Drosophila melanogaster: one gene and its partner. The protein of the gene in region 2 purifies or fractionates together with the protein of the main gene of each other region. This does not show direct contact. Each region holds a gene or a part of one and is shown on either strand. Other genes may lie near its edges.

Region 1 (14,898 bases), about 16 Mb from region 2:
ATACATTATTGAAGTGACCACAGCACTTGACCGCTACAACTTGTCCCAAACAAAATGCATTATAATGATTTATGGGCGTGGGTCCGTAGCCAAAAAATCAACCCTCCGGACAAATTAACATTAACAAGGATATATGATGATAATGATGCTTCTCGCCAAGGCAGAGCCACCCAAAAAACAAAGCCTGTCAAAGCCACAAAGAGACACTCGACCCACGCAGATGCCCCCGAGGTGTTTTCCCGACCAAGTTTAAACGAAAATTAAAACACCTACCCTCCCCATTCGATGGCCACGACCTTTCCGTCCCTTTTTCCTTCCTGAACTTGAAGCTAATCAAAAATGTTGCACAAAAGAGCGTAAGAAAAGGAGAGGAAATAAAACTTGAGCTTCGGTTACAACGAACTCATTGTACACTGCACTTTGTATTTTGATTTCATTCCAAATTTAAATTTAATTCACTAGTTACTATCTACAAAAATGATGTATCAAAATAACATTTAAAACAATACTATTTATATTTATTAATACATTTAAGATTTAAATTTTAGAATTAAAGTAAATATTGCAAGTGTAGGATCATATACATAATTTTAAATACCCATATATCTAAATATGTTCCAAACTATCCTCAACTTTTATTTCGTTAAAATTACTATGCCTTCTGAGATACATATCATTAATAATTCTGTATATTTGTACATTTATCTTGCTGAACAAAAAACTAGTGCCACCCGAAGGAAATCAGAAATCGACAATCTTTTTTTTTTTTAAACGAAAGTGCAAAAAATGTTTAAGCAGTTTTTTTTCAGCAAGGCCAACAACCAGCGAAAGAAAGTATAAAAAATGTTTCTGAACTTGGATGGATACTTTTGGGTTGTCCTGGCAAGTCAGCGAACATTGTCGCCATGATTAGCATTTTATCAGCAGATCCTTTGGCTCATCATGCCGTGTCTCGTGACAAGCACTTGGCCATATTTATGGTAATTTAGTTTTGGCTGAGCTGCGGCAACAGCTGGCAATGTTTTAAGGAATGTGACGCCCCACAAAAAATGGGAGTGGGAAAAACCCATGGCTCACTCCCTTGAAGTGAACTGGTAAGCAAGTAGTACTTGCCACATGAGGAAGCTGCGTGTCACATAATCAAAACTGAGGCAGGCTCAACCTGCAGGGTGCTCTTTATGTTTTTATGTGCGGAGCCCATTAATTTATTGCCGGAGACATTGAGACACCTCCAGCCGAACAAAAGGCGACATTATTATTTCATTATTATGCCAAACGCATCAGGATGCCCCACTCCCGATCTTCTTCCCCCAAAATGCACGTGGGCAGGCTCGAATTACATACGGTGGGGAGCCATCCTCGGTGGAGGCTTTTCCAACGTGGCAGATGATTCATGCGATGGCAAATTTTCTGACGCCCGCCACATAAATAAAACAGGCTGCCCGGGGAGCTCAGACATACATATACATACGTATGTTTGGATAGTCCCCGGGTCAAAGGGCCCAGTTCAGAGGCTGTAATATTCACTCGTAAATATTTTTATAGGCACTAAGACTTCCGCATCGGATGAACAAAGCGCGAAGAGTCCACACGGCCAGGTGCTCTGCGGAATTAAATAAATATTTGCCACGAACGGGCAACCTTTCTAGCGTTATTTGGGAAATTGTGGAAAAATCACGAGCCACATAACTCCTGCAACGCTTTCGCCATGAAACATTTTATTAATTAAGTCCGTGTCCTTGATTTTTATTTGCCGTTTGGTATACCCACTTTGTGTCAACACAAACCTCTGTCATCATCAGGATGCTCTTTAAATGTCGCAAATTCTAACAATGCAAGTTGACCGTGTCCTTCAAAGGATTTCAATTGCAGACCAGATTTTCAAAGACTTAAGACAGCTAAATTGTAACTCAACTTCACCTCCTGTCAGCCAATTCCTTTTTACCAATCCCTTGTTAATAATTATGTTAGCTAACATCAACATTCTAAACTAAAAACCAAACCAATATGACCGATTGACTGCTTATTTTTCCGTTCCCAATTTGTTCACTACATTTCCAATTTGCCAAAATCAACAGGGTTAAATCCAATCCGGCGGTAGCAGCCACAAACAACCCACCTTTGCGAAGAAATTTCGACTCCTGCTGCTAATCCTTTCGTGCGTGCGCGTGTGAGTAAACCATTTAGCGCCAATTAAAACATAATTGCGGCATTCGCGGATTGCGATCGGGCACTAAATCATTCTCGGGCCTATACGAGTTTCATTTTGGCAGGACGAGAATAGCGGCACACACACACACATACACACACACACACGTCCATCGAGGCACCGCAACAAATGGCAAAAAGCGCGGGCGGAAAAGCGAAAACACTTGGGCGCCATTCACGGTTTAATGGCATCAATTCAATCCGAGGCTGAGCTCACTTTAATCTTGTGGCACTGCTGGCGTTGATTAAAAACACAAGGAAGCCGAAGTCGCCGCTTCTGGCCAACATTTCACTTTTATGAACGTAATTCCGACGGCTGATTTAGGCCGGAAGTCTGGAGCACGGAAACCACCCGCTATGTCAACCACACTTCGCCGGCTAAGAGCACTAACTGCCATTCCTGCGAGCTTCAACTTCTTTTGGGGACTTCATCCCCGGAGTGTCGGCTTTCGATCAGCTGATTGGGGGTAGAAGCACCGGAAGTGCCGGAAACGGGGATGAAAAGTATTCGAAATTGGCGGGCATTCAAAACTGTCGAACATAGTTACTTCCTGTATAAATACAAAATACTCAATAAATTCAAAATACTCAATAAATGCAAAATACTCAATGCAAAACAGTTACAGTTTACATTATATAGAAATATAGAAAAAAAAATGATTGATAGTGCCAACTACCTACTACTGCCACTGCCAAACCTGCCAATCTTTTCTTGTCGTATATTATTTTGAATGATTATCAACAGATTAAATCACAATTAATAATTCACAATTAAATCGTGAAATTTAGTTTACTGGCTCTACGATTTAAGGATTCGTCACGATAGTTTCGCAGTCTCAACCAATTCCATCTCTAAAATTTGTATTGATGAAATTCCAGAGTTGCAGATATATTTTGGCATGCCCCGAACGGTCACACTGCGCGTCGCACACTTTTAATTGTTTCGCTTCGCCTTTCGTTGTTTGTCGTATTCTCCGAATTAATCAAAATGCCAGCGGTTGTGCGAATCAAGCGACGCATCGACGAGGAGCCTCAGACGGCATTTGTGCTAAACGGCAAGCGGCGGCGCCTCCACAACGATGAGAACGCCCTGGAGGACGCGGGAGCGGTGGCGGGAGCGGTGGCGGGAGCGGTGGCATCAGACAAAGACGAACTGACCACCGTGCTCAAGTTTGCCGGCACGCTGGAAAAGCAGGTGGGATTGGGGGCTTAGAGAAGCAAACGTAGATATAATTCACATGCCCTTGGTGGCCACTACTTTCTATATATTGCTGTGGCTCGAATGCACGCTGTTGGTTCTTTTAGTGCTGCTTATAAAAAGGTCAACGTCCTCATCTTTGAGATGCAAAACGATATGGGCTAGCAAACTCTGCAAAAATGCACTCATTGAACTGATTTGTTTTTTCTTTAATGATTCTTACAAATAGCTAATCTAAGGTAACACATATATGTGTGCAATTTTAATAATACTTATCAGTTAGTAGTGATCTTTAACCTTAGTTAAAGGTGCTGGCCTGTTATCTGTAAAGTGAATGCACATTTATCATAGCAAATTCCCATTTTACAGCCGCAATAAATAGTGGGAACTTAATAAAAGATAGCTCTAGTTTGGTTATTGGTAATTTTGACTAATGATCCAAAGATCTAATGAATCTAAAATTGATTTATTAATTTGTATGCCTCTTTCGCAGGACGACTGTGCCACTCGTAAATTCGCCGCTGCCAGGCTCAACAAGGCCGCAGCCCGTGATCTGGTGCAACAGCAGCGCTCCAATGATGCAGCCATTGCTAGTGCGCTGCGCAGAGATCGCCAGCGGCAGGAGGCTCAGGAGAACTCAAGGGAGCAGCGTTTCCGGGTCGTAAACTGCCTGCGCAGCACGCTCGAAAACAGTGCCGCAGAAGCGGAATGCCCGGAGAGCCAGAGTCATGAGTCCAGCAGCCACATAACCATCGTGGACATTGAATCGCAACAGCAACAGCACATGGGCACTGCAAGTGCAGCAGCTGAGGAGCAGCAGCAGCAGGAGATAGCACCCAGCCAGGATCAGCAGCAGCCGGCCGATTCGGACGTGGGCTATGTCTACGATCTATATGTTCCCGAGAACGAGATGCAGGCGGCATATGTGGACATGATGGACGACAACTACTTAAGGTTTGTCATTCAAGTTGAGCCACAGAAAACGTTGAGCATTACCAATTACTATATGTAATCGATCACCACTACACTTATGTACTATATGGAATATATATATCTAAGCGGTGTGTCTGTGTGTCGGTGCTATGGGCGTATCTGTGTGGGTGTGGGTGTGCGTGTGTCTGTGTTCGTTGTCCTCGGGCGCAGTCTCATACTTGCATATTATCCTTATCATCTAGACACGATTGCAATCACTACAGCTCAATAATACGATTCGTTCGTTCTCCATAAGGTTGTATTATCCGTTTAATTACTACAACAACTGCTACTGGTAAACAAGAAATAAACTAAATGGAGAGAGACAGACAAAGTCGCAGGCACTTAGGAAGTGTGAGGACAGGAGACACCCAATGCCCCACCCACGACAATAAAAAAAAGGACTGCAACTGGCAACTCACATCACTTACAGTTCATTGCAGTCAGCACATTTGACAAATGCCCAAAACTAACGATAAAACATTGTTTTTATGAGTAAACACGGCATGATCTGAAAACGAATGATTCTGGAAGCTATTTATTTGATTTGTTACTGTGAGATTTCGTTCAATTCTAACACAACTATGTTATGCCATATTCCATTTAAAAAATATGTTAGATCTAAACTTCTTAGTTTAAATAATGTATCATAGTTATGTAAAGTTCCCATAAAGTTCCCTCTTGCCAAAGTTTTTAATAAAAATAAGATGTATCCTGCTAAAAACGCACAATTAGTGTACTATTTGGAATCGTTTTAGGCAAATGTCTCTCATTACCTTATGTTCATAGAATTAATTAGCTATTAGATTAGAATAATTTACCCCCACACACGAACACACACACACCGCATTTTTTTGAAAAACAGCTCACCGAGCATTTTTCGTTTAGTTTCCGCCAGTTGTCAGTTGCCTTTTTGGTTCTTTTTCCATTCCGACAATAAACAAAAAAAAACGGATAACACTAGTGCTGAAGTCTAATTAAGTGCATAGTCTTAGTTTGTTTTGCTTTATATCTGTTGGGGCCTAGCGTTGCCCGAAATCGAATATAAACTAAATAAAGAAACTCTCAAAATACGTGACAAACTTTGTTGTGTTTCAATTTAAAAATGCTGCGTGATCAAAGAATCGAAATAAACTCACTAATTGTTTCGCCTATTCTGCAGTGTGATTCCTGTGGGCGAGATTGTCCTAGAAGATTGCTACAACGACCAGGACGAGGACTACGACTCGGAGGACTCGAACCAGGAGAACTACTTTACCAATGATTACCCGGACGACGACGAAGCGGGCGCCATGGGTTCGGATGATGAGTTGTGCCGGCAAATGAACAAGTTTATGCTCGGTAAGATCTGTGTTAACTGTTTGCATAGATTCCGCTTATGAATATGCATATGCTTCTTCTTCCAGATGATGACGAGGATGAGTTTGCCAGCACCAGCGATGATGATGACTATGCCACCTTTCGCGATCCCTACGTGCACACGATCGACACTGAGGAAGACTCGTTTGTGGACGACGTGGACTTTTACAATGTCGACCGGGAGAGGGGCAGCGCCTATGAGCGCTACAAGCGAAGGATTCTGAAGGAACTGGAGGGTCAGGAAGAAGAGGATGAGGATGATGATGATGATGACGACTCCTTTGCGAGCGCTGATGGCGAATGAGAGGTTGGAAAGCCAATTCATTCTTGCACCTTAAATTACTGGCTTTAAAAAAGAATGTAGTAGTATAATTTAGCGTTTAATAACTAAAAAATTTAAGTTAATATAAAAATTCTGTTTGCATGCTTTGCTATGTTTAAGCTAACCTTATCTTATCATCTATAATTTTTGCTGTCTTTCTTCTCAGTCTTGATGTGCTGAAGTTGAGGTTTCGGCGCACAGCCCTCCATGTAAAGGCGAAGGGTTTCCTCGTCCATCTTCTCGTTTTCCTTGGGAGGCTTGTAGTCGGCCACGTGATCGACCCTTAGTGTCCTATCGAGGATCTTGATGCCATTCAGGTTGTCCACGGCCAGCACTGTGGATCTCTGGTCCTCGTAGCACAGGAAGCAGAAGCCCTGGACAAGTTTAAACAATGATTTCAGGAACTTTCTTGAAAGGGTAACTAAGCATTACCTTGGACTTTCCCGTTTTTGAATCTCGAATTAGATTGATGTTGACCACTTCGCCGTACTGCGAGAATACGCAAACCAAGTCGCCCTCAGTTAGGGTATACGGAAATCCTGCGACGAAAATCCAGGCTGAGTCCTTGTACATGTCGTGCCAGCTCTTCTTTCCGCCATGTTGCAGTTCGTGTTCGCTCAGTTTGAGCACATTTTTCATATTTGTTAGCGGATTCATCTTCAAATCGTTTTATTTGTTTATGTTTTTGTGGCGATGTGACTGCTTGCTGTTAGGTAGAAAATACCATCGGTCTGTTTTGAACTGTATTAACATAGCAAGCAAGCAGTGTAGGTAGTATTTCAGGCAATATATCGATAATTGGATACTTTCTTTAACTCATAGAGTTTCCTAAAACTAAAAGGCTAATATAATTAATATGTAGCATACTTATTTAATTTCCAACTAATTTAAATACCAAAGTAGTTTTTAATTGCTAGGTATTTGTATTTGGTATTTCTTGTATGTGCAGTGGTATTAAATAGTGCGTTATAATAAGGCCGGTGGTATTTTAATCGTTATCGTCACATTTGTTGTCGCGTTGTAAAAGGCTGCGGATCGGAAGCCAGTTAATTGTGCACTGGGACGGACAGTGAGAAATGTTGTAATATTGCCATTGCCACGGTGATCTATTCGAGAAAAGGTGTGTACGAATGCGAAAATTGGGCTTACACACCCGCCGTCTGCTAGCGTACGTGTGTGTGTGTGCGGTATGCCCTTGCGTGTGCGTGTGTCTGCATGCTCGTGTGCGTGCCAAAGGAAAAAGATATGCTGAAAAGTATCTCCTCTCTATTTAAAAATGTGTGTCAGTGTATTGTGCGGCAGCAACGAAAATAATAAATAATAGCTGCCGCGACTGCGACTGCTGATTGGTGAGGGAGAGGAAGAGATGAAAACATAAACGAATAACCGTTTGGCGTCTTTGAGGTCTTTTAATTGTGCCAAAGCCATTGTTTTACCATTTTCCCATCATCGTTCGAGACGCGTTCTGTGCCGAATAACAGCGAATAACGCCCCGTCTTTTCTGTTATTTTTTTTCGCTCTCCCATATTATTTTTTGCGAAGGAAGCTGAGTGTGTGTTTCCCTCTCTGTCTCGCGCACGTAACTATGCCTGCGCCTTGCTATTGGAACAGTTGGTATGTAAAAGACATAAGTGCGATATGTCCGTTTCACACTAGACTTTGTCACCCTGTGGCAGCCACACTCACACACACACTCTCACCTGGGACAACTCCACCATATGTCCATTCGTCTGTGTGTCTGTCTGTCTGTCTGTCTGCTGCTGCTTTTCCTTAACACATTCACACTCACATGCACATTCCACCCCATTGGCAATGCCTCTCTTTCGTACAGCTGCAGTCAAAATAATAGTAATGGGCCTCCGGTATCTGCCGTCTTTATGGAGTCCTTGGTAAGCGAGGAAGAGGAAGAGCGGACAAAAGCATTCCTCCAAAGCTGCCGTCTTTTGTCCTGCAACTTCAACCCCAAAAACCCAGATAAGGAAACGTGCATTTTGAAACCCTATAACTATAAATAGAGTTCCTCACTTGACCGTGACTAGAACTTGGTTTATGTTGTTCACTTTGAAACTTTTGTATTTCTTATATGCTCCTATTCTGGAATTTAATAGTAATAGCTATAGAGCAACTCATGCCAGCTGCTGTCATTTGACTCATCGCAATCAACCCTTTGGGATAACTACATTCCTTAACCTTTTGTTTTCAATCCTCGGGTATTACGCACAGCAAGACTTAAATTGTGAGAAACACTAAACGCTAATTAAGTCACATAAAGTGTAGTTTACAAGCCATTGACCTAAAACCTAAGATTACACATGATCTTAAAAAAATCTCAACACGACTTTAAAGAGTTGACCCCCGCTGTATGGTCGCTTGTGTCTCTTTGTTTTTGTCCACGCCGAAAGGAGGAAACATGTACTTCCATCGCTGGTTTTTAATGTTTAGGTGTGGTCGTGCTTTACTTGCGGGCTTACACACATCCAGTTGTGTGTGTTTCTTCAAGCGGAAGCGCTCGTAAAAAAGTTTTCGTGGCGCTGCCCACACAGTTGACATTGAACTCGCTCCGTCCGGCTGCTCCTGCTTCTCCAGCTCCTCGTGCCCCAAAACCAACCTACCCCACCCACTCTGCCAAGCAACTGATACTTTTGGTCCGCTCTGTTACTTTCCCAAAAAGCCAACTCCTGGCCTTTCACTTGCTTTCCTTCATACCCTTCTGCGAGTAAAGCCAAGAGTTTTGTGAAAGGAGCGAAGTGTGCGATTAACGAAAAGGTGTTAAGGAGGCGGAAAAATCAATTAACAAATACTATTTGGCGTAGACTGATTGTTAATTGATAGGTGGTACTTCATTTCACTTTTCTACTCTACTGAGCTGCAGTGTGTAAACTTTAGTTGCGTTCGTAGAGACCCTGAATTATAGTTGATTTATGTTCTTCATAGTTCTATAATGAATATAATTAAAGCTGTCTAAATATTATCTGAACTATCTTCATATGTACCTTCCTAGTTCTCGTTCATTCCCAATGGGTATTTATGCGAAGTGATGTGTGATGTGGAAAATGGCTTAAAAAGAGAACCCATTGCCTATCCCTCCGCATCAGCAAACTTCTCCCCACTGTTCTATGAGAACATTTTGGGCGCATGTTGACTCATTTTGGCCGTTAAATGCGGGGGCTGGGTGCGGGCAGCTTTCTCGCTATTATTACGAGATACGTACAGATATGTGCTACTATACTTTATGTACATATGTACACTCGTGTGGGGCTCCTACTGCGGTTATTATGTGGCTCACGTCTCTGGGAAAGATTCGCGCCGCGACTGCGCACGATTATGGCACATTTCGAGTGACGAGAGCAAAGTTGACTGCGCTGCGGCCGCCTGTTGCAGAAACGTGTCAAGTTGGCCAGATACATCTACTCTACGTCTATATACACGAACATACATACATATATATGTATTATATACAGGGGTACTATATGTGCAGCAGCATAACCAAGCGAGCAAGCTGCTTCCCCGCCAGCTCCCGATTTCGAGTTCGATTAATTTCGTTGCGCCTCGGTAGCTGTGCACTCAACTCAAACATCCGCTCAAACGGACGGCTAGCTCACACCGCTTCCAATGGGGAACGTTTACCTCGCCGGCGACCAGCTCATTACACCACTGCCCACAGATGCGGCAGATTCCCATACCCAATCCCGCCAGCAAAACCCTTTCCCATCCGGGAAGGGAGTACCCTTCAACCGGGTGACACCAAACATCTGGGCGTACTGGGGGGCTACACTGGGCTGCAACGCCTTGGTTCCTGGACTACTTACTTTTGCACTAGTACCACAGAAGGAATTTCGCATTCCCCTCTTCAGGCAGCGTAGGGATAAGAATTACACTGGCTTGCACAGTATTGCTACCGAGAACTAACTAACATTTGGAGTTCGGTCCAGTTCATGCAAGACTTTTCATACCTATGGATTACTAATAGTACTAAATTGCAGCCGTTATCACTGATTACTGATTACCAACCACTGTTTTGCTGGCCAATGTAAACAGTCTACAATAGCAGGCACAAAAAAAACATTGCAGCGAAACTGCCAACAGAAAATTCGCTGTTCTACACATTTCGCCCTGTGTCTTATTGCTGTTTACACCTGTTCGAGCCGACGCCGTCGCGTTTTATATTCGCATTTTGTTTTTGTTTACATTCATGTAAAGAATTCTTCATAAACGCTCCATATTTGGCGACTGACATGCCCCCAGCCTCGCCAACTATCTCGTGGTTATTGAAGTGCAAGCAGGGGGAAATGCCGAACCCACACGGCGTATAAGAATTTTTGGGTTGGCGGCTCTTGCGGCTGTTGTTGTGATGGCCGCTGATGTTGTGTTTCATATGCGTATCAAATAATTGAGCTCAATTGATTTCAATTAAAACTGACAAGTCGCTGGGGGCTTTGTTGTTGTTGCTGCTGCTGTTATGGTTGTTAGTGCCAAGTCATATGAAACAAAAACCATCAAAATGCCTCAAAAGTAGTGCCCTCTGTTTGCCCGATGAGCTGCGTCGAATGTGAAATGCGCTAAGAATTCGTTCTATTCAATACGTTTGAAAGAAGAGTTACATTATAGGAAATCATAGCCCAAGAGTGTCGAAGGCAAATAAATATAGATGCTCTATCTTTTATTGACATTTACTGTGCATATATTGAGTTCGATGATTTCATAGTTTAAATATAGATTACGAAATGTGTTCAATAACCGATTCCTCAGTTTAATTTGCATGATCTCCGATCACTGGAAACATGAATGCTGTAAATGATTTACCTTAGTTTTTGATAAGTTTTTAAGTTTTTTAAGCATTTAATCCAAGCCTCAGATAAGAAGAAAGTCCCCTTTCGTTCTGACTCATCATCAGTGAGACAGAATAATTTTTATCAACCTATAATTCATCCATGAATCACCTGCACAAATCCAGTGAATGGAATGTTGCCTTATTTGAATATTTATAGCTCGAATAGTTTTAATTGAACATGTGTAATTTATCATTTCTAATTACCACTTTTGTGCAGTATAGAACAAAAGGCGAAGTAGCAAATTTGGAAAGCAAACGCTTGAATTTATTGCATTGTATTTAGTGCACAATGAATTGAAATAGAATAGTATATGCAGAATAAAGTTTAAGTTTTGCGGTATCTTCTTTTATTCTCTATTTTTAGAGAAACCAAACCTTAAACAATTTGTACGGATCGCCTCTTTCAGGAATAGAACTTTAAGAATAGCACTTCGAAATACCAAATTCCTCTGAAGGATTCCGCAGTCGAGCGGAGATCAACCCCCTAGCTCATATGCCCGGCGATGGGTAGAGTAAACGATTGTCTATTAATACGAACAAGTTTCGAATGGAGGGGGGGAGGGTTATATTTTGTGTATGTTTTCGCATTTGTTTATGAATTTCAACGCTTGTGCCAATTGCCCCCGTTCGCTGTGGCCGTTTGTCTTATTGAAATTCAACACTTTATTTAACAATTCATATGCACGGCCACTCGGGTCGGTCGCGCTCGCATAGAAATGAATAATAATTAAATTATATTGCCACTGCCCGTTTGCGTCTGACGTTTGCTTCTAAATATTTGGCCATTGCGCTTTCTTCCAGCAGCTGCTTCGCATATTTGTTAATGCGATTTTTATTGTACGATTTTATTTTGCTTGTTTATTTTCAAAACTTTTCGTATGCCGGCGCCACGAGCCTAAGACAACCTGAAAGAAAAAATTTGGATATTGCCGGCCGCGTGTGTGTTTGGCTTTGTCTACGTATAGCAGCTATATATCTACATATGTACATATATATATATTTCGTTGATGCGCGCAAAACTTTCACTTCCATTAAAAATATAAAGTCTGGTCTCGCCGATAGTCGTCGGAGTGTGAGTCCGTGGGTTTATGTGTACCTGTTTTTCGACGTCGCTAAATGACACTAGGCTAGGTTTTATGGTTCGCTGACGGAGATGAGTTGGTTTTGGGCCAGGCCAGGCGAAATTCTGCACAAATGTCAAAGTAGAAAATTTACATGGCCAGCGGAATTGAGCGATTTCGCTTTTCTTTTCTGCCCTGTGCTTTCCCATTTTTTTTCTTCATATCAGATGAACGCTTTTAATGCCCTAACAATGGCACTTTAATGACTTTGGAAATTCGCTGCTGGTACATTTCGGAATTATGCAATCGCCACATAATAGAGTCGGAATCATTTCGGAATGGGACTGAAACCAATTGGGAAATGTATAAGATTTACTTTGAACTATTTAAGAATCAGATAAAGCGTAATAAAATGCACTTTGCTTACTGGATATGTTCATGTAATATGTAATATTAGCGCATTCAAACTTCTTGAACCAGGCAAACCATTTCCATTTCCATTTCCCTAACTTGCAACTTGGCATTTGTGTTTGCCACAGTCCATAATTGTGTGAACGGAAGTCGAGAGCTCGACAATTATGGGGGCCATGGGAGTGGAGTGTAAAGTTTGGTCCGTTGCCCAGGTAAAATTAGTAAAACGGACTTGGGCAGTCCGAAGCACGAGCGTTGACTAATGTGGCGGTTAGACTAATTGCAATTCCCACATGGCGGACTTGCTTTTTTATTTCTATATTATGAGTCAGTCAGTCAGCTGTGGGGGGACAGTGGGGTTGTGTGCCATTGATTTGGGAGCAGACGACCCCACAAAGGGCTCCCCATTCGTAAACAAATCCGACATGTGAGTCAGCCAGGCGGGCCAAACCGATCAGATTTCCAAGAGCACAAGTGCCACTGGCTGTCAACTGGGGCGTAGATTGATACCGCTCTGCTCAACAGATTAACGGCATATAGCAACCGGATCAGCCTTGGGCTGCAATTTGTTCATGCTGCATGGTTTATAGGAGCACTGGCTGACTGGCTGACTATCTGGCATCAATTGGCCAGTCTAATGACTTCATGTTGGCCCATTAGTCACTCGGTCCAAATCTATGTGTCTGCGGTGAAATGGCTTTCGATTTACTTGGTACCGGTACCAAACGTCTGGATACATTATTAGGTTATGTAATGCGAATCTGCCAAGAGCAATTAGCCGCCCCTACTGTGACTATTTAAAGTGAGTCAAAGCTAAAAAGAGTCATCGAGCAATCTAGATGGGTCGTCGTCATTGCTCTTAATCATTAGTTAGTCCTGAAAATGGGGTTTGGCATTAAAAACATTGTACAGAAATCGAAATCCAAAATTACAATTTAAAAATGTTTTGAAAAGTGGAAACAAGAAATTTGAAGTTTAAACTAGTCGGTGGTATTTTAATAGTATAATAGCAACTATAGAAATTCGAAGTGCCTAAGTCGTTTTGGCCAGTAAAAGCACTCTATCCATTCTAGTCCTCTACCCTGGAATTTTCCTGTGATTAACCGTCGCGGATCTATTTAATTGTCCGTCAGCGTATCCGCCTCATTCAGATGCACACCAGCATCGTTTAGCACTTGCCGGCTGAAGTGAATGAGTGACTGGCTGACTGACTGAATGAGTGAATGTCGAACGGAGGGGGGAACTGCCTAACTGACTGGCAGTCTCAGCAACTAGGCTTAAGCACATTATGCATGCATTTGCAGCCTCGTAAGTCTTTTATGGCCGACAACCGACATCATTCGCTGCAATTGTCCGCTCTAGAAACCAGTGAGTGAGTGACCCACTTTGGGCCATAAATTAGCACAACCAACAACAGTCAAGAGGGGCAAGTTTTATTTAGCTTATTATATACGTATATAAACGTGTGTCCATGCTGTCTAGTTGGGCTCCAGACTCACGCACTTGCGATTCCAGTCTTGATTTATAGATCATTGTCATGTTTGGCTTTCGGTTTCTCGCTGCAAGTCAATTGGGTCAAGCCCCGGCCGAGCTGAGGTGGAAAACGCAGCCTGAAGCCGCCAGCCCGCCATTAAAAAACCATTAACTATTGTCCAATATTAAGTTATTTCATAGCATTAAATTGGCCCGAGCCTCTTGCACAGCGATTGAAATGTTTGCTGCTCTCACAAACTCCGGAGTTTGGCGGCTCGCAGTCCGGACATAGACAATGTTGTTTAATTGATTGGAGAAAGTGAGCTGGGCGAAAGAAACCGATGGGAAAATGTCTTCATTGGGCTCGTTTTTGGCCAAAGTGCAATGGGCAATCAAGGAATTGAATATGCACAGAGTTCGAAAATTTATTTGGTGTTTTGTTTTTGACTTTTGTGCATAATTGAGATGAAACTCATTTGATTTTGTGCGTTCGACTAGCCTTCAATGTCTGTCGGCCTAATCATGTATGATAATTTTTATCACAAAATCATTAATGATTTCAATTGCCCAACATAAAGCCGTTTATATGGTTTTTTTTTTTTACTTTAAATACTTGTAAAATATGTAAAACCGATCAGAATGCATACTGCTTTTATGGCCAGATATGTTTGAATGTGAGTTTAAACAATAAATCCCGGTAGCTGATTTGCATTTCCCAATGTATGTATACATCGTCAAAAACAAAATCATACGGCTCATATCAGCAGAACGTGCTGACCAAAAAGAATTCTTTAGATACTGACAATGGGAGAACCACAGACTTAACAATAAAAGAACCCTAATTAATTCATAAGAATACGTCGGGAAAGCTAAAAGATTGCGGTTACGTGGAGTGGAGTGTTATTATCTCACCCATTCATTCACCATTGTTGGGTGGCACTTAATCACACGATCGTTCGATTGATGACATCGATTCGATCTTTTGTAACACGTTTGTATCCATTTTCCCAGGTCGTTGGCATATGGTTTTTATGTTTTGTTTTACCCGATTTTAGATGCACTT
Region 2 (16,851 bases):
GTCCTGAAGATTTGGCTGCGCATTCATTGCCGTTAACCATCGACTTTCCAAGTCGATTCGGAGGAGCCGCTGAAGAAGCGAAGCGGTCAATGCGATGATGACCAAAGGAATTTGCTAAATGCAGCATTTAGACGTCACGGGTTTTTCCACGGGGCAAGCGAGCAGGAAGTCCTACCAGTCCTAGCTCTTCCCCAAGCGACCCTTTTGTCCCTGGGTTTTTTTTTTCGATCCAAAGCGCTGGGCTTGGTTCTGCGCCGACTGCCAAGATTTAGCTGGATGGAAACTTGCCAAAGAACTGCATGCGCTGAAACAACTCGGCGTTCAATTGTTGTGGATAGCCCTGCATCTGGGCGGGATGGGGCGCCTGATGATGGTGGGCCTGAGGAGCCTGCTGGTACTGCATCTGCTGATAGGCAGCCTGATAGGCAGCGGGATTCATGCGCTGGTACAGGGCGGCGGCGGCAGCGGCGGCGAATGGAACAGCCGGGTATCCGTAGCTGGAAGCTGGAGCTCCGTATGGTGAAGCAGCCATCATCGGCGAGAATATGGCCTGACGATAGGCGGCCAGGCGAGTGCGACTGGCGCCGGGATTCTTGCGCCTCAGCTTGCCGGTGGTCTCGCCAATGAATACCTCCTCGGCCGAGGGGTCCAGGATCCAGTAGTTGCCCTTGCCGGGATCATCGTAGCTGCGGGGAATCTTCGTGAAGCACTTGTTCAGGCTCAGATTGTGGCGAATGGAGTTCTGCCAGCCCCGCTTGTTGGCCTTGAAGTAGGGGAATCTATTGATCAGATACTGATAGATGCCATTCAAAGTCAACCGCTGCTCGGGACTATCCTGGATGGCCATCATGATGAGGGCGTTGTAGCTGTATGGCGGTTTCTTGGTATCGCTGCCGGCGGTCATTTTCTGTTTCTTGCTGGGATTGCCATCCTCGCTCTCCTGGTCCTCGTCCAGCTGATCCTCCAGCTCATCGTCGAACTCCACGTCGAGCTTGTCATTGTTTTGCGACGATAGACTCTCGGCGGCACTGCTCATGGGTGTGCTGGTCCTGCTGGGGCTGTCGAAATCCTCCGAAGCCGAGAGTTCGCCATCGGAATTGGAGTACGGATGAACGTACTGATGATGATGATGCACCGGTTCGGTTTTGATGGGTTGAGTTGCGGTGTTGATGGGTTTCTTGGCCAAGATGGCATCGATGGAGAAGTTGCTCTTGAATTCCATTTCACTTTTCACCATTTTTCTGATTCGGATATCTTTAGATTTTTGTTTTCTTTGGTTTCTGATTCTCACACACGACTTGGGATCGCTTGAGATGTTTGCTCTTGAGATGCTAGCTCTAAGCTGATTCTCTACAGCCCCGGATCGGGCTATTTATAGTCCAACCCCCGGTCGCTCGAACGAAGTCTACACGAAGAGAGCCCACAGGCCGAAAGAGACGGGTAGCTAATGCGCACAGGGAGTGCGAAAGGGATGGGCATCAGGTAGTTGGGCAGTTAAACCCTCTTCACAAGACTCCGCCCTCCATTTTGTGACCATTTTGTTCCACTCGCCTTCCACACGAAACTATATGTTGGCTATATGTTTGTAGACGTTGTTTGGGAACTTGTGGATGTTTATTTGCAGTCTTTTGCTGCTTCGGCGTCAAAATATCCATTACATCCAATCCAAACAGGGTCGGTATTTTGGGGTTGCTCTCAGTGCGTCTCGCTTCCGCTCGCTGTTTTGACTATTAATTGCACTAACAAGCGGCAATAAAAACAAAAACACCAATTTCGGGCAGTTGCAATTTAATCAGGATGTTTATAATTCGAGTTCGATGATTTTTGATTGGGATCCGAGAGTAATTTACAAATTGGGCCATTTCTAATCACTTCAATGGGGATGACATTTACACTTTGTCAGATATTAGAGTGTTCTGGCAATGACCTAATTTCAGTCATAATTAACTCAAAGATATTAAATATGCTTTTATAGATATAAGTAAAGATATTTACAATGTTCTAGAATATTGGATTGGTGCTTTGATCCACTTATCATATGACATTGAATTCTGCGAACCACTGCACTAGCGATCTGCGACACAGACTCCTCGAGTTGCTCCTAATCCCGCCCAAACTAGTTCAAGGGTCGCTTTTGTGGTCCGGGGATTATCTGAGGCAGATCCTGCCTTGGCTTACGGCACGATTTTCAACAGCTCAATGGAGCTCAGGACGCAGAACGCAGGACTCAGGTAATCCGAAGGGGTTAAACCTCCGAGCACCGGGATTTGTTCTAGTTTCGCGACAGATTTGCGAATTAGTTCTGGGCGCGCTTCGCCAGAATCAATGTGGATCTCTGGCAATCCTTTTGGAGATTAATAGATTTGGAAAATTATAAGCATGGACTCTGGCAAATATTTGTGCTCAGTGTTGGCTGGCAGTGGAATTTAAAATTGGTTGCACGAAAGTTAAGTCATATTTTGGTGATTTTGTGTGTGTGTGTTTAAGATTTTAAGATAGCTTAAATTTGAATGAATATCAATTTGTTCTATGATAAAGAATGCGATAATACTTGTAGGCTAAGGTTTTTTAATACTTGAAGACACTTTTAGGAAATTAGGAGATGATTGCAGTGCCGTGGATCTCAAGGACACATGCAACTCACATGGACAAACATCCTTTGGGATCAAACGAAGTCTCGCCGACTCTACTTTGCTACCGAAATGGACTTTGAAGTCCGGACTTTTCGTTTGCGAGTGGGTTGGCAATGGACCGAGACTGGACCCCGGCTACAAAAACACGAATGTACAAGTGGTTTTTGTGTCCATAGTGTTTTATGTTTTTATGGCATGTTTTGTTAGAACAATTGAACAAATATACAGGCAGATAAATCGGGCGAAAGTCAAGTAGACACAATGAAGACGTCAGCGCTGTGGGTTATTACAGATGGATGGATGGATGAATGAATGGATGGGGGCGAATACTTGTCGGCGGCACTGTGCGTTTGATATCTTAGACAACTTGACAAAACAATCAAAGCAGCAACAACACATGTTCCAAATGACTGTCTATTAATTTGCTCCCTTCTCATATTTTATTTTTTGCCCAAAACCAAAAAATAAAAAATAAGTGAACAAAACAATGGAGGAGTTGGGAAGAAAAAAGTAGGCAGCGCACTTTTAACGCAGTAGTCCAATTGCCGATGATAATGATGCACTCAGAGAAGTCGGCAAAGTTAAAAGTGCCCGAAAGAGACGGCAATCGAGCGATAGAGAAAGAAAGGTATAGGCAGTCGAAAAAAGTAGGCGGTTAACAATTGCCGAGGCGGCAGGTTCAGTTACTATTCTTTCTTCTGCAGAGCGTTTCTTTCTTTTCTAAGCGAGGGATAAATGAAGATTTGAACGCCTCGATTTTCCTTTTGCGGCTTCCCTTTTTCTCTCTTTTTATTCTTTTGCTCTGGGCCACTAATTGAGTTGGAAATTTGTGTAGTTTTTTTTTTGCAAGTCGGACTTACAGATGAAAGGCATTTCGCCGACTTCGACTTTGACTTTTCCCTGGCGAGTGCATAATTTTGACAACCGCGACAAAACTAATTGATTTGTGAAATCCCTAATCCCTTCAAAAAGTCCACACATCCTGGACACACACATTGCGGAAAATTTATGCACACTGCATAGAGTAATGGGTAATTCGATTATCAACTGCAAGGTGTGCCTATGCAGTTTTTTAGGCATAAAAAAATATGAAAAGATGAAGACAATTATAAAAACAGATGAAGATATTTAATCTATGTTATAGTTTCTGGTCGTAAGACCTTTGAAAATTATATATCCCTTCCTGACTTTTCGTTTGACTTTAATGTGTTTTTTTGCCGGGAGGACGTCGTGGTAAAACGAATTGATTAGCGATTCGAGATCCTTGAGGGCACACCTTGAGCATAATCGAGCGTGGATCAGACCGAGAGCATGTGGCCGCTGATTGGGTGATCAGGACGCGATCAGGACCACGCTGTTTGACATTATGGTTTCATTGCCAAAACCACACTTAGGCGTTTCCTTGGCGAGCTTCACGCTTCGAGGCAACGCTACGCCTGCCTCATTAGCTCACAAAAACGTAGGGAAACTATAGAAAACTATGGAAAACTATGGAAAACTATGGAGATGCATAAGCGAATTCCAAGTAGACACCGTGGCCACAGACAATGTGCATGTAATTTTCAATTAACGCCACAAGATTTCCCTCCTTCAGGACTTTCGCCCGTTTTCGTTCCACTGTGGGTGAGCATTCAGTCTCATAATTGATCGTAATGTGCGATATTCCTTTTGAGGAACCTCGCTGTCAACAGGACTCGCTGCGAGTCCTATCCTCAACGATCCGATCCTCGGAGACTGTCACATGGCTGCGACATCAGCAGGATATCTTCGGCATTTGTCGCGCACAGCGAGTCGTCTTTTCGCCCTCATCCTCATCCTCGCACTTTGCCTTTCAGTCATTGTCCTGTCGACAGGATATTCAGCATGTACTGGATTTTATGGTCCCAACAATGGCCATGATCGATCTATCGTTGCACACCCGATGAAAAAAATGTGCAGTGATTTTTTATGCATCCGAAACGCTGAGTTCTGTCACTAATCAGGTCCTTTCACTCGGGCATTTCTGCATAAGGCTCAGTTTATTGATAAGTCCGGTGTCAATCCCAGATTTTGAATGAATCCTGCTACTTGGCTTAGGTACAAAACCGGACTTAAGTTTACTACTATATTGCCTTTACGATCTGGTTTCACTTTTACTGCTGCCAAATCTGCACTTCAGGTAGTGGGGGTAAATCTTTATTGGCATCCAGGTAAGAGAAATATGAAAATCTATATATGTAAAACATTGAATGAGCATCTCGAAAGCGTTTCCCCTGAAAGACTTCAAACATAAATATGCTTGTCAGAACTAATATTTCCAGCGATTAAGATCCCCGCTCTCAAGAGCCACCACCTCCAATGTTCTCCTCTTCAAAGGCATCTAAATTTTATTTTATTTCCTAACCATATGTGTGTCAAAGTTCCACTTAAGTAGAGTCGCCTCCCCCATATGGAAGCAGCTGGAGATCGTAAGCAACCGCCTTTGACAACTTTATAGCCTAACGAGCCGAAAGGATCTCCAAGCGTACAGTCAACACCCACTATAATTGATCAGTTCCACACCGAGGCACATAAAAAAAAAATATTTCGCATCCTTCGGGCGCGACTGCGACTTATTGATTAAGTTGTCCATGCGGTTGGCATCGGGATTGCCAGACAGGATGCATAAAAACCTGGAAGGATCTCGTCGGCTAGAGTTGATCGAATTATAAAGGGCAACTGGTTGCCATCCACCATTTGTCTTCATTCTTTCCCATTGCAGCTTGCAGCAGCCAGAACCGAATTGATTCGTCACGCAGATTTCGATACATTAAATGCAATCATTTGACAACAGGACGAAAATATTTTCATCCATTGTGTCCTAACAACTAGCATACGATGCTAGGCTGTGTGTGTGCGCTAGATGCCATGGTATACACCACCACACATGATACATCAGTATCCGAGTGCTATCCTTTGCAGGTTTCCACACCAATGGGACTCCCCCCCAAAGCGTAGCAAATGCGTGATGAGGATGCCCTATAGAGGATATCTCAGGGTTTAGACCCTCCATACCTTCACCATATCTCTCCCTTTCTGGGCGTGTGAAATCGGGAAACAACGCCTGGGAGCTGGCGATAATTGCTCGTTAGTAGCTGCACCATGTCCACGTCGGATTTCAATTCGCAGTCTGTCCTCCGCTTGGATTAGGTTGTCAGGATCTGGGGATGACTGTACAAGGCGATCAATGGATTTTGGGGAAATTGATTTTAGCAAATATATGTAAAGAATATCTTTATATTAAATTTAAATTATATTTATTTTATAATCCACATAATATTGCTCCCAATGAATAAATGCTTTTCAATTATATGTATCTTGTATCTACTTCTTTTACGAATTCGTAGATCAATCTCCCAGCTAGCTCCCTTCACTCTTCTTCGATCAAGTATAAATCTGTAGACCTATTTTAGGACCTCATTACCAGCTTATACAGTTTTGTATGATCCAATTCCATTGTTTATTCACAGTTTGGTTGACACCTTTGAGGAATTTCTCACCTTCACGATAATAAAATATTATCCCGCTGATCTCGGCACTGATCTTCCCATATCGATTACAATATCCTTTTGCGCATAGCAAGTTCCACGAAAACGCATTGAACCGATTGTGCCAAATGTGACAACATAATCCACATAAAGTAGCCAAAAGGAGCCGATCTCGATGATCCTTTGATCTATATCGCCTTATCATCGTCGCCGTGATTTTCGTCTAATCTTGTGATTCTTGTGTGACAACATAATCAAGGCGAGATCGGCAGAGATCAGAGTGGCCGCATATATCCTTTGATGAGCGGGAGTAGCGTACCACGACAAAAAAGGACACTCATTGTTCGAAACGTGCCGAAAGGTGGAAATAAGATGTCACCTGAAAAATGCAAGGAGCTGCCGCCCATGGACGAAATAAAAGAAATTCGGAAACCGACTTTGATGTCATTGTTTTAGGTACATTTTATCACATTGTCATTGCGGGTAGACCAAAAATATACCAAAAAGAAACAGCCGCCGCCGCTGCTGCCAACAAATGTCTCAATTATTTCTTATTTTCGGCCTTTGGCTTTGACTTTAATTCTGTTCGACCGACTTTGGGCCACGCCTTTTGGAAAATATACCCTCGATTGGGAATGCACCGCAGCGGGAGTCCTTGATTTATGCCTCGGCGATCCTTGATCCTCGATCCTGCGGACTGTGGACTGTGGACGCAATCAAAGGAGAAATTCAAACAATATATAATCACCACAAATGATCGCAGCGCGTGCAGAATGTTTGAGGAATCGTTAGTACCGCCCCAACCCCTACGATCCAAATCCAGTAAACCAGAAACACAATTAAGAAGTCAGAAAAGCAGACGCTCCGCTAAGCGGATTCGGCCTTTAATAGTCTTAAAAATCGATTCCTTTTTGAGCCTTATTGAAATGAGCAGCAGACGGCTCATTGTGTTTTGGCCTGGACGTGTTAACATAGCAATTAACTTTTACAAGGGCTGCTAAGGAGCAGGAATTTATGTTCGATTTATGCAGCAACAGGATATGAAAGGACCAAAAACAAGATCGAACAGCTGGCAAATTTTTGATGACCAATGGTTGAGAAGGATCTCGAGATGATCGGTTTATGGACAGTTCGGAATGTGCCTCGAATTCAGGTGTGAAGATCAAAATGGCAGTTGAAAATTTTAAAAAAAGAAAATAACACCTTGAGAAATGAGAATACCACATTAAAGATATGATTAATGTATTCTTTCTGGATTATTAATAAAATTTCGTTTTACTTTATCATCTCACTGCTAGCTTTTGTATTCCTCGACAAACACAAGATGTAATTTATTTAACACTTGGCTATTTACCCGATCGAATTTCCCACTTCCAATTAAACGACTTCCTTCCGTGGCCACGTGAAAGTGTGTCAGCTCCATTCATGGCTCACATCTCCACACTGCGGAACAACTTCCCCAAGTTATGGCCACAAAAAACGAGTCAGATCACACCTCTTTGACATAATGACAAGATGGGAAAATGCGTTTGGTCTTTTGCCGCCACGTCAAATCGATGACACTTTCTCATTAACACAAACAGGCGCAGGCGGTCAAAATTCGCTGACATTTCTAGGCGCCTGCCTAACTTCGAGCTAATGTCTTTTGAATCGGGGAAATCCGATACAGCAGTGGAAAATATGCAGAGTACACCGGAAAAAAAAGTATATGGCTAACTGACTCAAGTACTAGTTGAAATCAATCAATATAATGGGTATTGCATACTGCATACCATAAAATCATCTACCTTATTCCATTAGATATATATAGTTTTCTTTCAGTGCAGCCAGGATTGGGGACAAGAAACACATGCGGCAAGTGAAGTGTTTAGGCGTGGACGTGGCAACATCGCGTACGGAAAAGGAAACAAAAAGTAGGAGGTGCCGCCGATGTGTTCGAAAGTCGGTTAATTACAAAAAAGAATCGAAACATCTACACACACATTCAAAATGAAAGGGCAGACACGCACTTGAGCACTTGACTGACTCACTCAAATTTCATGCGGCAAGGAGTCGAGCGAGGCAAGTCGCAGATGAACGTGCAACATCAAAGGCCGCCAGCGACTTGTATGTTTTCATTGCTTCAAATTGGAAAATGTCTTCGCATCGAAAATATTTGGTTATCATTGGGTAAATATGTGAGGAGCAACAAGGAGAATGGTTAGAAATAGAATGCAGTGAGTCCAGAAGGAGGAAGTTGGGAACATGCTACAGTAAATACAGGGTATAATTGGTCCTTGCACTTGGAAAAACTCCTATGTCAAAATTTCATCTTTAATTTTAAAGTATATTTCCACGTGCATCCTTTAGAATTCGTCGCAGTGCTAGGATTTTCACAATTGACACAAGTCAAAGGTGTTTTTTGCCTAAAGGACCAGCCCAAAACTCAGGTGCTGTTTTGATTTTGGAAAGCGTCTTGCCGTTCCGCTTTTGTCCTCTTAGCCCGCTGGCAAATTCCTTGGACGGCAGCGGAGATCGGAAGGTTAGTGTTAAATGCCGGCGATTTGCACCAGCGGTGCACCGGAGGTGGCACCAGGAATCGGAATTGGAAATCGGGAATAGGAATGGGAATGCGAATGGGAATCCAGAGCCAGGGGGGTATCCACGCGGCAGGATGCGCCTGCCTGCGTGATGATGAGCCTCGAGTAAGGATGCCGGAATAAAGGACTCGAACGGCACCCGCTGACATTGACATCCCGACGACAGCAAGCAGGCCAAACTCAGCTGCTGCTGCTGCTGCTGCTGCTGGTCCTCGTATCTCGTGTTTCCTTCAGTTTGCCCGAGAAACGTCCTTGGACCGGCCGAGGTATGTCCTTGGCCCGTAGAACGATATGTGGCCAAAGTAAATGGCATATTTTGGCCTCTCCTGGTTAACCGTACGCAGTATTGCTTGAAACTTTGGGATCTAACGCAAAACTGTGGCCATACATTGACCTTCGACTGGAGTCCTTCGAGGATCCTGTCGCGTTATTTGGTCACAGTCACAGTCACGATATGTTAGCAAATCTCAAGTTTGGTGTTTGTAATTTTTGGTTTTTTTGCTTGCCACTACAAGGTCGAACTGAGGGAAGTTGGCCTCGATTAAAGTGGTATTTTGGTTTGGGCGTTGATTTTGAGCATGGCCCTGTATGGTAAATACATAAATATATAAATTCAATATATAGTTGAAAAGTAACTGGGTCAATGACTTCCAGTTTGGGACAAATATCGATGCATGTGCTGAAATATCCTGAAGATCTTCAATCACATCCCTTTGCGAGTCCTGAAAAATCTGCACTTTCGCTAACAAAAAACCAGCTCATTTCGGTATTTCGATTTTTATTTCTCTGATATTTTTCACGGCTCAGTGGCCTTCGAAACAATCAAACTAATGGGACACCGCAAAAACATAAAGGCAGAAAATGTGATGTGTGTATAAACCTCTTGTGTTGGTCAAATTCATTTCCACTTGATTACGTGCAAAGCTCAAATCTGTTGCGGAAATCATTTAAACGGAATTAATGCTCGAACAAAACATGTGAAAACTATCGCTCACCACTCGATTCAAATGCATTTGGGCGAGGCGGGGAAGCATTTCGATTCAAGTAAATATATGTATATATATTTCCTTTTGATTTTGGATTCGAAATTTCCTGGTATTCGTGGCGCACAAATGTCGGAATATCGAGTTTGGCAAAAAAAGGTAGAGTAGGGCGTGTGCAAGCCTAGCGGGTAGCACATGAGTCGATTCCTTGAATAAAAAGTATTTGCAAGAAGGGGAAATATATTTGCAAACTCCAATAAAGCGGGAGATTTCAGTAATTAGTTCGCTGGTTGTTTTCCAAAACACCTGTCTGCTCTTAAAGAAAAAACTTTAGCAAACCTTTGAAGGCTCTAAAATGAATTAGATATTAATCCTGAACACTAGAGGCGCCAAGAATAATAATATTTGTGCTTCTCTTAGTATCACTATGTAATCAATTAAAAAAGTTGTCTGTCTTTTACTTCATAATGCCTCATTATCTCGTACAAAATGTCCTTTTTACGAGGGGTTACGGAAATCAGATTGCTATCGCCACTTGTATGTCGCCGCATCGCACTTAACGAGGAGCTAAAAACTCGGATTCGGGGTAAAAAAAAAAAATGGCACGAGACAAGAAAGCCCCCATGCCCCGCTAACATGTGCTGGAAAACTATAGGGAAAACCTCCTTTTGGCAGGACACGAACGGAGATACAAGTAAAAAACTGCCAGAGAACACAGCACGTGACAATTGCGTCAACAGATTTTTCGCTGAGATGAGCACAAAATTGTTAGCAACAAAAAACGTGAGCTAAGAATGGGAATGCGACAGGAAACAGGGGCGTTGGAGCCAGGGGGGAGGGGGAGCTGCAGGGGGGGTTGGATTTCCCAACACCCGACCAAAAACAAAATATCAAAACCCTGCTGTTGTTGTTTTTGTCGTCTGTAGTTGTTGCTATTGACAATATTTATGCAGCAGCAGCACCAACAGCAATATGGAAAAACGGGGGGCAGAAAGTGGGTGGTGGTTTGCTGAATATTGTGGGGAATTTTCAGACCCCAAGGGCAAAATTGTGGTGCTTGTCATTCCACTGTTTGTTTTTGCATTTTACTACATTTTACAGCTTTTGTTTTATAATTTGCACCCGCAAGGCGACAAACTGCAGGGGGTAATAAAAAAAAAAAGGCAGTAAAAAAGTAAAAAAAAAGTATGGTTGAAATAATTTGTTTGAACTAGGAAATATCTTCTTTAAACTAATTTCGTGGGCAAAAGTTCTGAAATCTCAAACAATTTGTGATTAAATTTAATCTACTTATTTTATTGAACATTTTATGAACAAAATTTTACTTCAAAAGCAAGCATTTTTAGAGTTCAGTTAATGCGATGAGATTTTGGAGAACCCTATATACCCTTCATGTTCCAGGGTGTCTGAAGCTCTCTTCAGTGATCGAACCGCTCTTGATGAGGCTCCTTTCCGCTTCCTTTTTGCAGCAGAGCAGCACAAACTCGAGTCTGCGGTAGGTTTGGTCCTCCTCTTGGTCCGCGGTCCTCCGAGCCGGTTCCGTGTGGTTGTTGCAAGGTGGTTGTGCTACAGCTACACTTGTTTGGTTGTTTCCGTGGATGGGGTTTCGGTTATTTCCGATGGGCGAACGGCGAGGAGGGTCCATGGCACCGCAGTACGTGACGAAGAACAAAAGAAGGCACTTGGGCACTTGCATGTTTCCTGCCTCTAGTCGCGCTGGATGGTGGAGGTCCTTACGCTTGTGCCGTGTTTTTTTTTTTTTTTTTTGTCCAGAAACTTACTTGCCGCTGCTTTTGTTGTATCCACAAAAAAGCACGCTTATGATAATAATGGCATTATGTATTGTATACCACGTAATAATGTACAAAATGTTGACAGCCGCAGTCTTTTTGCGACACAAACTTCTCTAACGAACTGAAGGCAAAGTTGTAGGAAAAATCAAGTGGAAATATTCTTTTAGTTTCGAAAAGCTTTCGAAAGTAAAGAATTAAATATATTTTATAACTTTGTACCCTGATGACAGACATTTGTATGCTTTATATACTCAATTTGTGGTGTAGCTAGTGCATCTTTTCAAAATTTTGTTCCCAGAATCCAACCATAACAATCGTGTTTACCCAGGCAGGTTAATACTTTTACTATTTCGCCAAAAGAAAATATTGACTTTTCATATTTGCGAAAAATATTTGAAAGGCACAAAAAAAAGATTCCTATTTATTTTTGTACAAAATTTATGAAAACGATAAACCAAAAACAAACAAAAATTGCTTGGTAGCCCGCAAAATAAACACACAGCAAATAAACCAAAGAGGCAGAGTCAGGTAGGATTGTATCTGCATCTAACTACATATATGGTATGGGTTATAGGATGGAATAGATCAAGGGCTCTGGTGGGCAGCTGGTGGGCGTTGCTAATGTGTGAGCCAAAAAGCAAACAATTTGCATTCCCAAACTAATGAAAAAACAATATTTATATGGCACACAATAATACTACAATTGAAAGAGTAAAGAGTGGGCAAAAAATACAAATCTTTGAAGATTTGGAAGAAGATCTTTAAGAAAATATACAATAAAATCACAATTTCAAAATATTTGAATATTTATGAAAAAATTCTCCAATTGCCCTATTAAAATTCTAAAATTATTCCTTCTTCTTTCTTACAAACCCTCAACAGATATTAAGTTAAATGATAAGCTGTCGCCATATTGAAAACCTCTAAATTAATGTCTCCCTCTGGGAATTTCCCCCATTGCTCCACAAACCAACCAATTGGTTGGAACATAAAGTTCAACAACAAACAGAGCCATAAACATTCCCATTACAAATTAACACTTCATATATATTCCACATTCTGAAGTGGCACATAATCCCAGTCGTTTCCCCCACTTTCCCCCCGAAAGTCGACGGAACTGTTTCAATCTCCATATGGCCGCAAACAGGAAGCTAATCCTGCTCAGTGATATATCAACATATTTATGGTAAACGGATCAGAGGGCTTAGGCCAGCAAATTGGAGTGAAGAGGGGAACTGGGGGAGCATCCATATGTTACCCTCTGGTATTTTTAGGCTCGACTTCAAGTGGCAACTAACCGCAGAAACTCCATAAAATTTTATGAACACTCTTTCGGCGATTTTATGTGACGAGCGACGGCTGCTTAGCACTTCGATCGCCCATGGTCTATTAATGTTTAATAAACAATTATTAGACAATCAACGAATTTTTCGTGGCTCTGAAGCTTTTTGATCTTCATCACATCCAGTGACTCACCAAGAATGGGTGTACAAATAAATACCAAAACGACTGTGTTTAGATCAAATCGGATAATTACGCACACGAATTCTCATGAATCATAACAATAACAATGGAATCCCTTGAGGAATCCGTCAGGAACACCTCTTAGCGGAGGCGATTGACACGTCACGAGTGGGAGAAACTTTCTGAGTCGAGAACAAATGCACTTTGATGTTTCACGAACTGCAATTCGAGGTATTCACCATAAGACATAACAAACACTTCGATATGTTTGGAAATTAAAAACTTGCGGTAACTAGAAAATCGGTGTTAATTGGTTATTAGCTTGCCAAGTGTTTTAGCTAAAATACTGACAAACATGGAACAAATTCAAAATGAAGTACCAGCGATTTCAAGACAAACTAAATGAAAATGAAAATAAAGTTTAAATAAACTACAAATGTATATCTAATACTAATATATTTAAATTTGTTAAGTACCAAAACCAATTAAATAAAAATCTTACACTTTTAAAATGATACGACAGGAGTTTAAATCTCCGCGGGTTTCCGCCACAGCACCAAAGCAGTTTACTGCTTGCTTTTGAGCACTGCTCTCCTTGCAACAACAATCATTTGTGTCCCTTTACAGCACTGTTCGGCTCACAGACATCGATAAGTTATCGGTCTATAATCGCTACAAAACGTAAACATCTGTTTTTTCGCTTTTAATGAATTTAAGAAAAACTTTAGGAAAATGGAGCGCAAGGAAGTGGACACCCAGCAGTTCATCGACCATGTAAGTGGAATGCGACCATATTTCGCGTGAAAACCCGCGCACTAACCAATTCCCAACCAACTTGCAGACGCTGCTGGCGAACCACTTCATCATGGATCTGATAGATCAGACCTACAAATCCGAAGGACCCACGAATCTGAGCACGAATCCCAGTTCCGGCAACTCCGAGAGCGGAGTGGGTTACGTGGAAAAGGAATCGCTGACGCCGGAGCTGAATTTCCACAACACCATCTTTCAGTTTGTGAACAAATCATCGCCAGAAAATGATGTTGTACCCCACCAGGTGGATGCGCAGCCCACATTTCCGGCCCTGGCCATTGAGCCCACAGTGCCCATCGACGTGTCCACAGGTCTACACGAGGACGAGGATCTCCTCTATGCGCACAACAACGCCTCCTGCACGAACGCCCGCAAGGTGCTGCCCCACAAGAAACGCATTTCGCGGAAGCTCAAAGGCAACATAGACCCCGAACTGGACCACCAGCACAAGCATGTCCAGGATGTGGCACCCTCTTCCCTGTATAGCTGTGAAATATGCGGCTATGCTGTGCACACCCAATTGGACTTCTTTGCCCATCTGAAGCAGCACTACGAGCCCACCGTTCTGGAGCAGCGCCTGGTCGTCCAGGATCCCCAGCAACAGCACCAGCAAAAGGAACCCCTCGACATGTGTGGTTTGTCTGCGCAGGATAAGGTTAGTTGGGATTTCAAGCCTAAAGCTTAAAGTTAAAGACTCATTTCTTATATCGCACAGCTGCAACAGGAGCAGGCCAAATTGGATCAGGTTTTTCAGGACGTGCAGCTTAATTTTGAGAACTTTCACAACATCAGTCACCATGTGAACGATGTTGCCAACGTCGGAGTGAATATGGTGCTGCATGGACAAGCCACGGACAAATTAAATGCCGTGGTGGTTAACACCAGCAGCACTCCGAATTCTGTACCCGTGGTGGATGACGTCGAGTTCAGCGATACGGAAGACATGCTCGAGGGTATCCGCAATGTGGTGGACAAGGTTTCAATAGAAGACACCTGCGATGAACTGGTGGATCTTGAATTGACCTCCAGCGGAATGACGGCACCCTGGTTTAATAACAACTTCAGGGATATCACATTTCCGGCTCTTCTGCTGCCAGGAGAGCCGCCACCAGCTTCTTCAGAGCCAGCTACTCCACTGCTTAAAGAGAATCCCCATGTAGGCGACCACATGGCACTCGATTTTCTTAGTCCCGAGAAGGCGGACCCTCAAGAGGAAGCAAAACTGGAGAAAACACTGTCTAAAGCCTGCGAGCCCAATGAGCAAACCTTGTTAGTTGCACCACCTGCCTGCCAAACACCACCGATTCCAACTGTTCCACCAGCCAACTCATCCATTGAGCAGCTGCGCAGATCTCCCCTAGAACTAAGTGAAGCCTTCAAGTTGGAAGAGGATGACATGACCGATAGCCGACCAGCTTCGTCGTTCGAGGAAGGCGATCCCGATGCTGAAGAGCCAAATGAATGTTTTCAGATGGAGGTTTTGGATACGAGTTTAACCGAGGAGGCAGAGAACAAGACAAGGAGGAAACATTTCTGCGACAAGTGCAATCGCGATTTCAACTCGTACAATGCCCTCAAGTACCATCAGTATACGCACAATCAGGAGAGATCTCACAAATGCGACAGCTGCGAGAGATCCTTCTACACGCAGAGTGCGCTAAAGGCTCACGAAAGGACACGTAAGTGATTACCTAGAATCTTTCGCACATAAACCCCTAATCCTTGATGCTCCTATCCTCCATAGATTCCGGCGTGAAACCCTTTAAATGCGACAAGTGCGAGTTTCAGTTTCGGCAGTGGGGTGACCTGAAGTACCACATCATCTCGCGGCACAGCGACGTCAAGGCGCACATGTGCGAATTTTGCGGAAAGAGTTTTTCCCGGCGCTACTCCCTGGTTGTCCACAGAAGAATCCACACCAGGGAGAAGAACTACGCCTGCCAGTATTGTGACAAGACCTTCCGGGCCAGCTCCTACCTGCTCAGTCATATTAAAGTGCACACGGGCGAGCGGCCGTACGAGTGTTCCATCTGTGAAAAGAAATTTCGAGTCTCAGGCGATCTCAAGCGACATTCAAGGATTCACGATCCCAGCAGAACAAGCCAACCGCCTGCGGAAAAAGCTAAAAAGAAGAGGGCAGCCGCGAGCAATAAGCAATTGCCAATCGAAGAGGATGACGAGTTGGCCACCAATATCCAAAACAATAAGTCTGACGCCATGCGCGACCAAACTGGACAGAAAATCCTGGGCTTATAGCCATGCTGTGCCAAGGTTTCTTCAAAGTAGTATAAGTCTAAGTCTATTGTACGCACTTTTGTACAAGTTCTGTAAATAACTGAGATCGTATTAAGTATTTATGGAGAAAGAAAATCACGTGTAAGAGAGCTTCAAGTTTAAGAAAATTCCACTTTAAAGTCAACTCTTGAATAAATCTGTACATTTCTTAAGCAATTTGGCACAGAGCATTTTCTTTTTTTTTTTGCTGTCCCCAACAATTTCCTTGTGATATCTGCAAAATAAATTTGTAAACTAGTACATTTTCTATTGCAGAGCATTTCTTTATTATTTTCCATGTTTTCGTCTTGTCATCTTCATTTCATTCGTTTTTTTTTTCTCAAATGTTTTTGTTTTTCACACATCTGTCTCTCTCTTTTTGCACTTGTACCGTTCGTCGACTTAATTGTTAATGAGTAAGTATATATATTGTTATTAATAATGTAACTATGTACAACACAAGTGTTTGGGCGCCTGTCAGCGGGCCCAAAACGCAATGAAATCTTTGTATTCTTTGTTTACAACATAATTGGTTTCTTCGCTTTTTTTTTTCGTCGTTTTTGTTTTGTTTCTCAAAAATATTCAACATAAACGCCCCGCAGCCATACATTCCATAGATTTGTGTGTGCTTTCCGTATTTGTTAGCCATTCTATTCTCTCACTGTAACTTCCTTTCGCTTTCGCTTCAGAGCTTATAAACTAAAATCCTAGTATTGGCTGATTCACCAGCTTCCTATCTTTTCCACGCTTTAATGTACGCTCAGTCCATGATATCCTCCGATTCTCCCATTTGTTACACATATATA

Evidence for each region.
Region 1: the proteins of CG3407 (region 2) and CG10466 purify together in Drosophila melanogaster (affinity purification with mass spectrometry, with the first as the bait; one large-scale study listed by BioGRID). This does not show direct contact.

The regions. Positions count from the first base shown.
Region 1 is NT_033779.5:19,784,045-19,798,942, reverse strand, and holds CG10466 (uncharacterized protein), read right to left. Parts: upstream 6,840-14,898; 5' UTR 6,717-6,839; coding exon 6,492-6,716; intron 6,434-6,491; coding exon 6,194-6,433; 3' UTR 6,161-6,193; downstream 1-6,160. Other genes in the region: fs(2)ltoPP43 (female sterile (2) ltoPP43), read left to right, coding at 3,197-3,403, 3,900-4,360, 5,541-5,719, 5,785-6,041.
Region 2 is NT_033779.5:3,810,170-3,827,020, reverse strand, and holds CG3407 (uncharacterized protein), read left to right. Parts: upstream 1-13,610; 5' UTR 13,611-13,690; coding exon 13,691-13,732; intron 13,733-13,799; coding exon 13,800-14,426; intron 14,427-14,486; coding exon 14,487-15,450; intron 15,451-15,515; coding exon 15,516-16,027; 3' UTR 16,028-16,220; downstream 16,221-16,851. Other genes in the region: slp1 (sloppy paired 1), read right to left, coding at 269-1,237.